Astyanax mexicanus: one gene and its partner. The protein of the gene in region 1 interacts with the protein of each later gene in a pairwise test. Links are inferred from orthologs where the notes say so. Each region holds a gene or a part of one and is shown on either strand. Other genes may lie near its edges.

Region 1 (8,203 bases):
ACATTATTTCAAAACATTTTAGACTTATCTTTGGTTTGACAATTACTTACCAGTGTTTTATGGGAAATCATTGAGAAATATGAGCCAGGTATCACTTATAACATTGTCCTAGGCATTGTTAGGGAGACCAGTCGTCAAAAGTGATTAGAAAGAATTTTGCTTTGAACTGACTTAAATAAGGCACAAATAAATAAGTGATTAAAAAAACTGTATAAAACTGCTGCTTCTCCTGTTGTTGATGTGCACTGCAGCCATCTTGAATTCTGAACTTGCAGTTTGTACGACTCTCCTGACTTTTTAAGAGGGATATCAGTCTTGTTGAGGCATTCCAGTTGAAATTTCCTACTCGGAAATCCCGAGATCTGAGTTTAAATGGAATGAAGTATTAGCACTAAAGTTCTTGAAAACTCAAATCACAAGCTCACAAGTTTGTAGCACACAAAGATGAGAGTCAGACATTACCAGACACATCTCTGAAACTCATGTTACTAAGGCTCTGTCTGGTAATTACAGCAAAGTGTGACACTTCTTTTCCAGCCAGGTGCTCGTAACTGAGTGACGTAAGCTGGGCAGAAAGTGGTTAGCCAGCACACGGCTCAGTAACACTGTTCACTCCGACTCCATGAAGAAGGACACTTGAAAAAGTGCATCTAAAACAAGAACACAGAATAAATACATTACATAACTTATATAATGAAGAGCAGAATGGGAAAACAGCAGAATGCTTCAGTATCTGTTGGTGGCAGAACTATTTTACCTGATATTCTTTCTTCTTTATCAGGAGAATCTAAAGATGCCCATCTCTTTGGTGCTGCTTCCATCAGTGTGAGGTCATCAGGCTTTAAGGTCCACAACAGGTTCTTCCTCTGTATGTATCTGAGGATGTAACTGAGGAGAATAATATAACATACTTCTACTTTTCACACTAATCTATTAAGTTAAAATAAATCATTTATTTTCTTTACTATACTAAGTTATTTTATTTTAACTGCCTTTGTGACTTACATCTGAATATTAAGTATTTTTATTGTAAAAACAGTTCCAAATGAAAAAGAAAAAAATAACTGATTGACATATGGTTTTTCGTTTGAAGGGCTCACAAAAACAACTAAAATCAAGGGAAAATGTAAAATCATTTTGAAATACTAGACTAATCTAAAGAATCCGACCAGCCCTATTGTTCAAGAGCGCCATATCATTAACAATTATAATGACTTTGAGACTCAGATGCTGCTCATCCTAATACATTTCTACAATTTCGGTTGCATTAAAAGGCATGATTTGTCAGAATATTCACATGTTTACTTACATTTTTTGTTGCAGAGTTGTGAGGTTTGTGACTAGAATCAAACACCCGATGCTGACTCTTATCAAGAATTAATACAAAGTCTAAACAAGTATAATTTATTTGCTAATAAAACAGCTGTATGTTACAGCCCAGCATTGTTGTTTTGGCAACTAAAAAAGCCATTTTTATTGTGATGACTGAACTATCGTGTAACATTTGGCACCAGAGAAAAGACCAAATTAGCTGTTTCAAACTGGTTAACATAAAATCATAATCTGAAATGTGATAAGGCAAGGGGAAAGCTATTACATTTCTATTAACAATTATAGTAAAACAAAACTAAAATTCAATGTTTTAAATGTTATGATATCAACATGACCGGTGATAGCAATAAAATAAAAAGAAAAATGTCAGGTTAATTTCTAAATGCCACTGATGAATCTTAGCACGTCTAGGATACTGAACACGGTAGTAGCACTCTGCATCCTGGAGCCATTCCAACATATCAGCAATAGATGGAGAAGTGGCAGATCTGGCAACACAAGTGTGCAGATCCAGGGAGTCTGCATTCTGCTCATACAGCTGGAAAACTGCAAACACCTGCTTACTTGTGGAATCCCGAACTCCTTGAAGTGTTTCTCTGCAGAGCAATAAAACAAAACACTCATGGATGAGAAAATTCATAACATCGCTGTTTAAATCTTAATAACCCAAAACAGGAAAAACTTTCCTCACTTCCTTTAAGTACAGGATTTCATATACATACACTGCATTCGCCAATTGCTAGACATGAGCTAGAGAGGTATAAAGCATACATAACATTTTGAAATTATGAATAAAATACTTGATAGCATGTATCTGTAGAATCAGAAGACTTAATTCACCAAGAACCTGCAGTGCAAGAAATCGGTGTAGGTTTCAGACATACATTCAAAGTTGAACTTTTAAATGTAGTTCTGGCCTTCCAAATGTGATTGGTTTGTTAAATAACAGCTAAAGGTTTATTTTACAGAAAAAAACTGAAAAAACTGTTTTTGAACACATATTTGTCTGCATTACCTTTTATCTTGTGTGTTAATTTTTATTTAACTTGTTTTATATTTGTTTGTTTTCCTTATGCCAAATGAAAAGGACTGTTCCTTTTCATTACCCTGCTTTAGAAATGCAGGTAAAAATAAGTCAATATCATATTGTGCAATAATGCAATGATAAAGTTTAATTTTCATTTTGTTGCAGTATTTTGTAATATCTTTAAGAGTACCGTTATCATGGAAATACCATGAAATATTGTGATATTATTTTAGGGCCATATCTACTGTACAGCTTTAATATAGTCTTTAATATTAAATGTACAATGTAAAAAAATCATAAAAAGAAAGAAAACACATTGAATGAAAAGAGGTGTGACTGTTACTGTATGTACAGCAACAAGTTAAAGTGTATATATGCATGAACTTACATTTTTTCACTTAATTTCCCTAAGACAGTGTCTACTGCCTGTGCCAGCTTGTGCTGGAGACGTGGTTGTAGATCTGGAAAGTGACAGAGCGGAGTGCTGGCTAGATCTACACTCTTCAGCGCCCTCAGCTGCTCGGCCAGGTTCCCCAGAGAGCTGATCAGAGGTGAACACTCGACCAGAGCAGATCTCCAAACCTCCTTGTTCACCTGAACACTCTGGAAGCATTTCCTTAGCTCCTGCTGTAAGAGCAGCAGTGCAGGCTGAGACATAGTTAATCTAACTAACTATAGACTACTAAATTACCGCCTGTCTGAGTGCAGCTAGCTCCAATACTGCTAATCTGACCAACATATCAACCCTCAGTATGAAATATAAATGCTCAATGTATATATTTAAACGCTCAATCCCTGCTCACATATCTGACAAACATAAACATACCCAGTTATATGTTTTCTATAGTCTTCTAAAGAATGTTTACCATCTAATACCCAACACGTGCTAGCTAGCTTAGTTATTAACAAACCCAGCACCAGCATTTTGATGCAAGTCAGAGTGCAAAACGATTTTCTGTCATAATAAAAGTTCCCCCAAAATGTAATAAAATTCTGTTTTAAGTCTGTAAATTAAATACTATGAACTAGGTTGACAATATATAACGTTTAAAACTAATTAAACGTTTTTTAAAACTTAGAAACGCATAAAATAATGTAGATAATCAAAGAAAAAGTAAGAAACATACTGTTCTTTATAATGTCTCTTTTTTATTATTAGAGTTATATCTCCGCAAAACTGTGTAACATAATACTTGTTTTAGTACAATTTCTTACTTTTTATTTTATTATCTACATTATGTATGCGTTTATATGTTTCAAAAAGCTTTTAATTAGTTTTATACTCTATATATTATTAAACTAGTTCATAGTATTTCTTTTACAATTTTTTTATTCCATTTAAGGGGGCTCTTATTTTGACAGAAAATCTTTTCGGACTAAGCTACAAAACACATGACACATGCTTTCCACTAAGCTCTTCAGCGATTGGTCGTTTTTTGTATTGTTCCTTAAACAGTAGCTGATTGGTCCGTGACGCCGGCGTAATAGACGCATACAGAAGCTGCCCGGTCATTGGTTGAGCTGCTGCTCCGCGAATGAATTTGAAAAGTGTTGCTTCCAACCGCCACCAGTTTAGGGAGCGTCGAAAAGCAGCGAAAGGAGCAGAAAAATATACAAAAATAAAAGGAAATATAAAGGAATATAAAGAATTCAGAACAGGTAGGTAAAGAATATTGTCTTAGAAGTGTTGTTAACACAATGTTTACACGTTTAAGTGTGCATAAAATTAAACATTTAGCGTGTAATTATCTGGCCTAGTGTTATGTTACAGGTCTACAGTAGTTAGCTAGTCAGCCTCAGCATTGCGTCTTTCTTTCTTACAGAAACACAATGGCTCCGAGAAAACGAACAACCAACGCTAAAACCAAGAAGAATATAAAAATGCCGAAATTAGAAGCGTTTCTTCTGGACTTCGATGATGAAGGTAAGATTGTTTACACTAAAACCATTGACTATTGTTAACTTTAAGGCTGCTTACGCAGTTAGCTTGCATTAAAAAAGACTAACTACAGTTAAAATGCCAGCTGGGAGGATCCCAACAGGTAAAATGTTTAAAATATGGTTAAAATGTGAGCTTTAAGCTTTTGTTTATTATTTTTGTATTATTCCAATGTTAAACCTATACTGTATTATAATTCTAGCTAGTGTTTTGGTATAATGAACTGCCTTTAACAGGAAAATGACAATAATGGAAATTTAATTTTGATGGAGACCACAGCTCCACAGCTTTTATCACAGCTATTAAGTAATTTTTATTTTGGGTCCTTTACTCAATTCACACAGACATGTTTTATGTTTTTCTATAAATTTATTTTATATATATTTTTATGTATATAGTGCAGAATGTGTTTTTTTGTGTGTATAGCTGTATGTATATTTGTAGCAGGACCGACAAATTGAATAGATTGACAAATAAGTAGTAGTTACATACACTCGTGCAAAATACAATGTAGATTTATTGGTTAAATGTTTTTTATGCACATGCCTAATTTTGTTTAAATAATTATTGCACACTTTCTGTAAATCCTCTAAACCTAATTTCACTTTTTTGTCTGCTGTATGATATGTTTAACTGAATAACCAATTATTTATAAACGAAAAGGATCAGGGTTTTTTTGGCTAGACAAACAAATGGCAGTGTGACCTTAATGATACGGACGGACGATTGGATGGATACATTGGAAGATAATTAATAAGTAGTAGTGTTAAAGTATTGATATTTCACAGAGTAGTTAGTATATAGTTGGAGTACTTACTATGATGCATGCATGGTAGCTGTGAATTTAAAAATTCTGGGCAAAATAATTAAAAGGAAAGTGTCCAGTGCAGATAATGCAATATCATTGGTAAAAACAGATTTACAGTGCTGTATAATCTCATGGCTGCAAGAAGAAATTACCTACAGCAGGACAGGAGGAGTCTGTTGCTGAATGTATGACTCTGATCATAGAGAAGCCCTTCCACCAACTTTATAAAACATTACACAGACAGACATTTTTGCCAGTATCTGCCTCTTCATGTTTTTTACTACATCCAGTTTAGCCCCAAAAACTAAGCTCACCTTTCACCAGATTAGTCTCTTGTTTGTGTCAGGAAGTAGTTAGATTTCGTCGTAGTTTCTCATCTCGGGTTTTAGTAGGGGACTGTTCAGCTTCAGTAACATTTTAACATCAAATGTTATTGATTTTTGTACACAGTGCGCACCATAGTGGAGAGGATGAAGGACAAGACCAACAATCTGTTAAAGGATGCAGACAACCTGTACAACATGGCTCTGATCAAGCTGCCTATGTCAGTGCGACGGATGAACTGGATTCAGTACTGTGGTATGTACATACACACTTCCGTCCATTTTAGCTACATAATTCCATTCATGTTTTATCACATTGTGTTCTTTGTTTATCTACCAGGTGTTAAGAGTTTGTGTTTTAACAGGCAAGGGATACTGTTATAGGACATTCTGAATCTTATGTTTTATTCTTTTACATAGATTCTGAAAAGCCAGAAGCACCTGTCGATGAGTCCAAGGCAAGTCCTCATTTCCACTGTTGATCATCTCGGAATGACTGTTTTAAGGTTTTATGTGTGAGATGTACATGTTCTATTTTTCATCTGTTGTTTCTGCTTGCAGCAAAAGGAGGTGGCTGCACAAGTAGAGATGACCATAGCTCATGATCATGCTGTTCCTCCAAAGTCTGCCAAAAAAGGTAACTACTGCTTTCTTTTGATCTTGTTTTTGATATTATTCTTAGTTATTTCTGTGATGGTGATGTTAATCATGTCTTCTGTGTTTATTGATAGCTGCTAAGATCAGCTCAGGCTCAGAAAATGAAGAGAACTTAGTACCCAAGTCTACGACAAAAAAGGTCAGTCTAAACTGTTAAGATATTATGTAGCTAAACAAAGAAATCAGGTCTGCAACAATTTTGTGGTCCTGTATTTTGAAGGTGCGAATATTCTGTTTTGCCATATTCAGATATGTTTGGTCCCCCCCCCCCCCCCCTCTTCGTTTTATCATTGTCATTATTTGCATTTTTTTAATTAAGATTAAAGAGCTAAATGTTTGTTTTTTTTAAGTTTTATCCATCCTTATTCTATGGCTTACAATTGCCCTAATTTTGTCATGTTTATCACAGGGAAGGCAAAAGAAGGCACCTTCAACTTCAAAGAAAGCCAAAGCTCTTTCAGTCAGCAAACAGAACAACACTATTAGAAAGTAAGTTTTATTTCTTATCTACATTTTGCTCATTTTAGGTGACCATTAACTATTGTATATAAATGTTCATTTACCGGTAAATTATTATTTGATTGCAGATCTAGTAGAAAGCCTTTGGTCACCCCAGCAAGAAGTTTCCTGGATTCCTCCATAATCGGTCCGACACCACTCATCACGCCTCGCTTTGATTCCAGGTGACTCCATAATTTTTAATTTGGCCAAATTTCAGACTAAAAGAAACTGTTAATAGAGCAGCCAGGTTTAATCAGCTACTGGCTACTGTTAAACATGGTTGCCTGGTTGACTCTTTAATGGAATGTCAGTGTTTGTTTCCTGGGGGTAAATTATGTGAATTTAAGTATGATGTACTCTTATCTTTTAGGTTGCCCAAGACTCCTGCAGTGCGAGTTCCCCGTCACAGAGAGAAGGTGTACAGCATCTCTGTTAACGGATCTCCTATTGCTGGAAGCAGTGAGGACATTGTCATTAATGTCCCTCTGGGAAGTGGAGAGGTTTGTTGCTTCTTCTGTCTCAAGCTAAAAAATTCAAGTGTCCTTTTTTATTTTTTAGTCAGAAAATAACAGCAGCTTCTCTTTGTTTCCTCTTTTCTCAGTGTATTCAGCTGCTGGCCAGTGAGATGGACTGTATTGATCTGAGCCAGTTGGATGAGAAGGCGGTGCGCAGTATCAGACAGCTGCAGGTATTTATTTGTTGTGAAGTGGAAGCCTGTTATTCCTTAAATACTGTAAAACACATGATTTACTGTTCTGTTTTCTTTTGCACAGAGCCGACTCACAACCCTCTGTGGAGGATCCAAGTGACCTGACTGCTTCTGCTCTCATTTCCTTTCTTTTAAAAAATCAGACACCACCCTAAATCGTCACACTTTTATTCCTGTTTATAAAGTAGCTTTGTCTAGTTTTATCCTTTTATCTTTGCATTTCTTTTAAATACTGTCTCCTTTTTCTGTCAGGAATTTTCATGGGCATTTTACATTTGTACATATTTCCGTTTGCATGTAGTGTTTTCACATGTGGTGTCTTGTAATATGTTTGTAAATACAATTCATTTGCAACAGATTTCAGATTTTTTTTCTTCTTAATTGTATTCATTTTATACTATTACTCATGAGGTGAATTAATACTGGATATGTATATTAGGAAATTATACTCAACAATGGACCTTTTTTGTTTGTAAGTGAAGTGCAACTTTTCACCATATAGAAATGTGTATATAAAAAAAGCTGTTTTCAATTTGTGTATTGTGTGCTTTTCCCTTTCTAGCCTGGGTTTAAGTTTTAGTGAAAAAGAGTGACTGTGCTTTTAGTATCCTGTGTATTTAAGTCCTGTAGAGGGCAGGCGTGCTGCAGCTGCAGTCATCAATCAGTCAAATCCAAAAACTGTAGAAACACACAGACGGGCAACATCTCTAGCGAAACCATAAGTCAGTGCTCCACCCATCCCTCATAGGTTTCAGTAATGAAACGCTCCATCTTATTTTTCTCCTTTGAATTGTCTTTCCATATCCAGTGTCTAATTTTAACATTTTTTCCTGTGCTAATATTCTTTTTTTTTTACCCCCAGAAAGTTTTTAATAACATTTTTTTTCTACATTATTATGCACCCATG
Region 2 (7,967 bases), on another chromosome or scaffold:
GTCTGTTAAATTGTGTCTTGTCTTTTGTTTTGTCTATTGTATTCATTATTGTGTTATAATTCTGTTATAATTCCATGTTGCACCATGGTTCTGGAGGAACGTAATTTCGTTACACTGTGTACCTGTACTCAGATGTAATGACAATAAAAGCCTCTTGACTTTATATTTGACTTGATGTTTCTGTACAACCTTCTAATGAATTAATTTATCTAAGTCTATGTCATTATCAGTACAGTAATGGCGGCGCTCAGAGCAGAAGCTAGCATTATAGGATGTAAACAGAGGTTTTTAATAAGCTTCTTGTGCCCTTTTTAAGTTATTAATGCCTCGTTTTAAATGTCTCTCTGGATTCTAGCAAGGAGGTGTGGCACTACTTTGAGCTGAATAACGGTGGAAAAAGCAATTTATTGGGGCATTTATGCCCCGTTTCACCCAGTCTGCAGGGTGTTTGGACAAACTGTTAAAATATCTGGATCTCAGAACGCTGTGGGAGAACGGAGGTGTGCTCTTCATCAAAAGTAAGTACTTTTTATCATGTTGTACTACACCAAAACTCCATTTTACACCAGAGTTCTCCTTTAATGCCTGGCAGGTGTTGGGTATGGGGGGCATAAAGCCCCCCAGCACTGACATGTGGAGCAGTGGAACTGTGTTCCCCATCCAATACTTTTGGATTAAGATCTTTTGATCTTAATTAAGATCAATTTAGTAGAAAATGTTCTATTTCATGTTTATAGCTCAAAGAAACAATATATTATGGGAACTGTTCATATAAAAAAAAGCTTTAATGTAAAAACAGTTTAGACAAAAGTATCAAGAGTCTGGTCGCACCAGCAAATTTGAAGAAAATACCTCATTAAACCCATGCATTGGATAACAATGCAACAGAACTGAACATGCTTGCATACATACACTCACTCACACACACACACACAGGCTTATACAACTTGACAAACATTTTAAAGTTTAGGGGAGCCAATAAAGGTTGTTTTGTGCAAAGTGCACAAAACAACTTTTATTGGCTCCCCTAAACTTTAAAATATACTAAGTAATAACTAAAAAAAATCCAGCCTTTCCCATTTTGGAGATGTGCAGACATTAAATAGCAAATTAGCACATATACATAATTTTAAAAAGAATTTAATAAAAATAAAAAAAAAACATCTCATTGCTCAGGCAAGCAGTTGGAGAATTTTAATTATGATGTTTATTATATAAATGTTACCCTTATTTTACCCTATTCTTACCAGTAGTTTACTATTGTTATATTGTTATGATGGAATATATCATAAAAAATATAAATTACAATTACAATTAACAAATGAGTTTATAATAATATTTCCATAATAATACATATAATAATATATAATACTAATACATATATACATATAATATGTATAATAACACTACAATAATATAATATTGTAAAAATAATATATCTATATTAGTATTATAATATTATTATAAAATTAATAATATATCAAAATAACAATAATTAGAGCTAATTTAGCTAATTCACTCATTGTCCTTATAATCTAAATGTTACCATTGGTGCATGACGTCCACTATAGTGGACAGTTACATTTGGACACAGAACCAAAAAAACTGTATTACCAATTTTGATGAAACTTTCATAAAAGTGTTCCTTACTACATTCTTAATTAGAAAAAAAAGTGTATACCTGCATGTTTCTTGCAGAATAAAAAGATTTGACTGATATTCCAGAGGTCAAAATGTCATTTTCACTGTTGGTCGCCATCTTGGATTTCTGATGCAATATCTCAGTTTTGAGAATATTGATTAAGACATTTATTTGTACACAATAAAGAGTTGGTTTAGAAGACAGCCCCTGGTGGTTTGGAGTATATATTGCAAATCTTTTGTTTTTTTAATATGTTTAAATATGCGCCCACTGTAGTGTACACCATGCATGAAAGGGTTAAAAACTGACATAAGTGACTGCATGGGCCTAGGAACACTTGCAGAAAACAAAATAAATTAAGAAATATAGAAAAACTTAGTATGAAAAGGGGTGTCCAAACTGTTGGCTGATGCTGTACAGTGCCATTCAAAAGTTTGGACACAACTTCTCATTCAATGTTTTTATTTTTTATTTTTTTTTTCTACATTGTAAATGAATACTGAAGTGATCCAGTCTATGAAGGAACAAATAAGGAATCGTGTAGTAACTTAAAACTGTTAAACAAGCCAAAATACTTATTTAGGTGCTCTTATCTGGGGAGCTGTTAACTCTGAGGCTGGTAACTTTGATTAAATTATCCTGTGCAACAGAAGGAACTTTTAAGTGTGTTTCGAATGGTTCACTCAGGGGCGTAGCAGCAAATTCTGGGCCCTGTACACCCTCATTGTTAATGGGCCCCTATCCATGCCAGTAAACAAAGGAAAGTGAGCAAAAAAAAAATCAGGATTTTCATGGGCCCCTCTCCCTACTAGGGCCCTGGGTAGTCAGGTCCACTTTTCCCCCCACTACCACGCCCATGGGTTCACTCATTAACTTATTCACTATATAGCATTTATAACACCAAGCTTCAGAGAGATGGCCTGACAAGAATGAGAGGGACAAGAGAAAGTTTTCATGTGATACCAAAAAAAACGTCCTGAACTGCGAAAAAAGTTGTTAGTTTATTTCAGTACACATCCGTATATTTATTTATATTTTCATATTATACATTTGTACAGGAAGACGTCCTATATACCCCCTCAAGTCCTACTTACGAGGTTGGAGGTCGTACATAAGACTTGACATGCGTTCGAGTGTTTTTTGGTTGGGTGAAAATGGACGCCCTTAGGATTTTTTTTTTTTATTATATTATATATACAAATTATATATGCTTATATAACATATTATATGTAAAGCAGATTGTTTAAAAAAACTGTTAAATAATATTCACGCATAAAATCAATATATGTGCACGAGGCAACACTTTTTTCACTGATTGTGGAAACTTCACACTAGACCTCAAGCAGTTTGGACTGTGTGTCTCTCCACTCTTCCTCCAGACTCTGCTCCCTTAATCTACAAATGAAATGTAAAATTTACTGATGATCAGTGATCCCAGATAGCCACCGAGTGCTGGCCCAGAATTGGGCCTTAGCTGGATTCTGACTGTCCTCAAAGGTGGCCCAGTACTGGCCACCGGACTAGGCCCAGTGTCTTTTTGAACAACTGGTTTCTGACTGTTCTTGAAGCTGGCTGAGATCTGTTCTGGCCTTGTACGCTAGATAGTTAACAATTTTAATTTCAAGTAAAAACATATTTTTTGGTTGTCTGTTAGTAACTGTTACATTAACATTTACATTAACATGGCATGTGTTTAATGCTACATTCTGAGATAATTTAGCCTCAGATAATATCACCTTGATATGCTGCTAAATTAGCTAGCTTAGCTAACTGAAGAGACAACACACAGATAGGGTTATAACTCATATTTGACGGTCAAAATATTTATTAAATACATGGAATCAAAATAAAGGATATTTCAAAAAAGGTACTTAACACTTAGTTAGTTTTGCTACCTACCTACAAACTTTAAAGGTTTCAGGATAGCTGACATTTGAGGAAAGTTTTAATGTTTGAGGAATCCGCGCGCCAAGTGCGACGAGAAACCGCACGGGTTGAACTGGGTTGATGCACAGGGGCACCAAGGTAAATATCACCTAGATTCATTTACACTCTAAACGCGATCACACACACACACACACACACACACACACACACAGCTTATATAGTCCATGTAGAAAAAAATTGCCAATAGAATAAGACTCTCTGGATGTGTGTGTGTGTGAGAAGCAGTACTATAACAGGCTGTGTGTGTGTGTACTATAACAGGCTGTGTGTGTGTGTGTGTGTGTGTGTGTGTGTACTATAACAGGCTGTGTGTCGTCTGCCGTATTTGAGTCATTTCACAACTGTGTTCAGAGAATCAACAGGTCAGGTGCGACAGTCGTTCACCAGCACCAAAACGACTGCTCAGTGACACGGATTTAGAACAGTCAGAAAGTGACACTGGGCCAGCTGTGGGCCAGAAGTATTTTTCTGCTTGCGACTCTAAACCAGCAGTGCCGACTTAGAAACGAGTCCGGGCCAAAGTCGCTGGCTATCTGGGATGGTTTGGAGAGACATGTCATCTGTTGGTGTTGATCCACTGTGTTTTATTATCAAGTCCAAAGTCAGTGCAGTTTTGTTTTCCTGCTAAAGCACTTCATGCTTCCCTCTGCTACTGACAACTTTTATGGAGATTTCATTTTCCAGTAGGACTTGGCACACTGCCCAATGCCCACACTGCCAAAAGTACCATTTGGTCTTCTTTTTTTGTTGTTGTTAACAAGCTGTTACCCGCTCCAAAATAAGAATGTCCAAAAAATATCCACACCACAGGTGTAACCAAGATTGATTTCTTGGCTGCTGTTGATGCTGCCATCAAAACTTTAGCACTCCTTTGTTGTACAGTCAGCATTACAATAGAATCATCAAGTAACAATATTAACCCATAAAAAGAAAAAACAGATAGAATTTGTGTGAACATGTCCAGAACATAAGCATATAGTTTTCAACTAGGCTCAGTTCACATCTGCAACAGTTTTTTTGTCCCTGAAAAGTTTCATGAGGAAGGCTGACATACCAATTGGTGTTATGTATATAATATTCCGATTTTCTAAAACACTGATTTTTTTTTTATGGCTGTAAGCCATAATCAATCAACAACAATAAAAGAAATAAAGATTTAAAATAGATCGCTCTGTGTGTAATACATCGATAAAATATATGAGTTTCACATTTTTTGACTGAATTACTGAAATAAGGTTACTTTTTAATGATATTGTATTTTTTTAGATGCACTAGTGCTTGAGACTGACCCACAGAGCTCTATGGGATGCACTTATAATATAAGTGACACACATCCGTTCAGCTAAGGAAGAGAGAGGCAGCGTCTCACAGACTGGTCCCATAAAACTGTAAATATCGACGTAATCTCGACAAATTCTGGATTGTTATATACCTGAACAGGTAATGCACATTCTGACAGTGTTCTTATGGTGGGTGAGATTATTTAAAGCCCTTTAAATGTCTGAAAAACGGGGTAAATGGATAGATAGATGACCTAACTAACGCTAGCTAAGCAGGGGCAGCAGTGTGTGTCAGCTGTGCTGGATGAGCTGTTTTTACTGGGCTGAATTGAGGGTAGAAAACAAGCTTGAGCATTTTTTAAATATTTTTTTAACGAGAGCAGAGAGTTATCTACCTAAATGTGCTTTTATTGTCTTTAAACTGTGAGTTTGTCCTTTTCTTTAATACCTTTTTTTTCATTGCCAGACAGCCTACGTTGCTAGCTTGCCAGCTAACGTTAGTTAAATATCTGCCTTAGCAACCGTAGCTAGCTAACGCTAAAGCTAACTACTTAGCTTAGCTTAGCGTAGCTAGCTTGGCTTCAATTGGTGACTAGCGCTAACGCAAACGGCTGGTTTAGAACAGTTTATTCGGCATATTTAAGGATTAATACCTTAATATCTCACTGCTTATACAGATAACATATTTCTTACACATCTCAGGATAAAAATAGAGGAGTATTTCTCCTTTTTTTCACCTTTAAGCTTCACTAGCTTGGCCATGCTGTTCAGTTTTTGCTAGGTAGGTTAGCTAGGAGCAGATGTAACTTACTAGGTTACAGTATTTTTCTTGTTTTAAAGCTGGTTACCTATGTTTAATTCTGATAACTTGTATGTTAGGTAGATATATTGTATATGCTTGTTTTAGCAGGCTAACATTAGCCAGATTGCCCCCTTATAGCTAGCTAGCCTGAAAATAGCCAGCCTAACCCAGGTTAGCTGTAGGCAGCTTTGGTGTCTGAGCTTTGGTAGTTAGATGTTGGGTCACGATCAAGGTTTAATCTGTTTAATCTTTGTATTTTCCTGTTTTTTCCTTTTTCTTTACGTTTGTTGGCTTCATACAGAGATCCTAAAGCACCAGGACAGAGATATAGTACACTGTGAGGGATTTAAAACCTATTCCATTCAGTTTAACAGCCCCTTATCTGAATTTAGTCCTAATCTTTACATCATTTTAAATCTGTTTTATTGTAACTAGTTGAAAATATACATTCGACTTATTGTAAAATTTGATAGTTATGATATGTTATAGATGTTTATTGTTTTTATTTGTATGTTTGTTCACATATGTAATAGTGAACAGTATTTTAGCCGGTCATGCAGTTACCAATCAGTGCTTCAATAACTGTGACTCCTTACACACAGTGTGCACAGACTGCAGTAGGTGAAGAATAATATATATATACATATATTTGCCAAACTATGATTGATTAAAATTTTGTTAATTAATTGCCAATGACAATAATATCTTTGATCGCAATAATTTCTGGGAAGATATATCATCCATAAAAATTTGATATACAGATTTATAACGTAAATACGTTATAACGTAACTTATAAACAGAGTGATTAGACACATACCTATACCGGTATAACTTTAGAAACATATGTAGCATTTATATACCTTACATTATCTTTCAACCAACTGTATGCAAAATCAGCACAGAGCATTACCACTTCCAGGTGCCTTAAGACTTAAGGCTTTGTTCAATTCCTCAATGTGCCACAATGCACTGTGCAGAATTTTGACTTAACTTTAAAAAAAAAAAAACTAAGGGTATCATAACTGTCCTAGCCCTGTACAGCTTGTATATTTCAGCTGAAAAACAGGCAGTGTGTGAAAAGATGATACATTGAGCAAACTGCTATCATGCATGATAAGTGAGGCTGAACAGTATAGTTTGTGTATAATTTAGGTGAGTAGAGAATAAAACATGGTGCGTTTTTAGTCCAATGCTGGCATTTTGTCCTTTTGATGAGAGTGTGGGCCTGCTGCCATCGTCAAAATGAAACTAAATGAAATTTTTGGCTGAATGCCGAATCGCATGTTTTGCAGGTGTTCATTAATTTTGCCACATTCCTCACCATTGCATGAATTTAAATGGCTTAATCATTTTTTTTTTCTGTTCAGATTTAAAGCCATTCGAAAACGACAATAAATATTTTTAAACTGAACACTTAACCTTGTTAACATTTGTGCAAGAATATACCCACAAAGCACTTGGTATACATATGCTGTTTCTTATAAATTATTTCTCTTTTCATTTATTCAACCAAACACCAAAAGTGCCTTTTTTCTGTTTTCGCCAAAATAATTTCAAGTGCTGAAAGATTTTCCCAGTCAGTGAAGGGAAGCAGCAGGAAAATGTGGGGTGCAGCCCGTTATTACTGCATGCAAAATGCTGGGAACACAGTTAGCTAGCTAAATTATCATTGGTAATATTTAATTTTGGTGTCCACAGTCTGATGTGTAAGGTAAATTGTACCAAAAATCTCAATACATCATAAATATTACATGGGTGCGTCATCTTAAGTCGTAAAATGGTTCACCTAACATGTGCTGGAATGCTTTGGGCAGTTTTTGTTTGTGCTGTTGAATCTTTAGGCTTTGAACGAAGGCTATAATGAGGCTATATGTCTTTGGCAGTTAAGCTCATTCTCTTTAAACTGCATAGATTATTGGCTTTTATTTGTGCACCATTCCTTTAAAATGCCTCCCATTCGTGAGGGGTACATTCTGAGCGTTCCTAACTGTCTCCCCCTGTCTGTGTTGCCATGCTGAAATTAGGTCACCAGCATCCAAATGGGACACAATACCCCCCCCTCTTCCAGTCTGTGATATGCTGGATATGCAAAAAAAGGGGGTACTTCAAAAGCAGAGGATTTCCCCCTCCTTCCTTCTTAAAACCAGCCCGAGCAGTTTTATGCCCTGTCAGCTTCTGAATCGATCTACAGTCTGCAGACTGATCAAAGCTCTGGGCTCCTTTGCTCCTGTTTCGGGACGCATTGTTAGGAAAGGAAGCCGATACTGCTGGATTAATATGCTTCCTGTGAGGATA

The links. The genes of interacting proteins can lie anywhere in the genome.
Region 2: the proteins of c19h1orf109 (region 1) and rnf41 interact in binary tests that used the Homo sapiens proteins (3 or more experiments, as listed by UniProt). The two-hybrid records come from large-scale screens. The link is inferred for Astyanax mexicanus from reciprocal best matches to the Homo sapiens genes AIRIM and RNF41.

Annotation. Positions count from the first base shown.
Region 1 is NC_064410.1:53,550,912-53,559,114, forward strand, and holds the start of c19h1orf109 (uncharacterized protein C1orf109 homolog), read right to left. Parts: upstream 3,296-8,203; 5' UTR 3,017-3,295; coding exon 2,748-3,016; intron 1,929-2,747; coding exon 1,749-1,928; intron 877-1,748; coding exon 758-876; intron 651-757; coding exon 610-650; 3' UTR 1-609. Other genes in the region: cdca8 (borealin), read left to right, coding at 4,190-4,283, 5,557-5,685, 5,850-5,887, 5,991-6,066, 6,161-6,225, 6,496-6,575, 6,674-6,769, 6,958-7,087 and 2 more. UniProt on the Homo sapiens protein: Part of the 55LCC heterohexameric ATPase complex which is chromatin-associated and promotes replisome proteostasis to maintain replication fork progression and genome stability.
Region 2 is NC_064420.1:45,036,845-45,044,811, reverse strand, and holds the start of rnf41 (E3 ubiquitin-protein ligase NRDP1), read left to right. Parts: upstream 1-4,877; 5' UTR 4,878-5,029; intron 5,030-7,967. UniProt on the Homo sapiens protein: Acts as E3 ubiquitin-protein ligase and regulates the degradation of target proteins. Polyubiquitinates MYD88. Negatively regulates MYD88-dependent production of pro-inflammatory cytokines.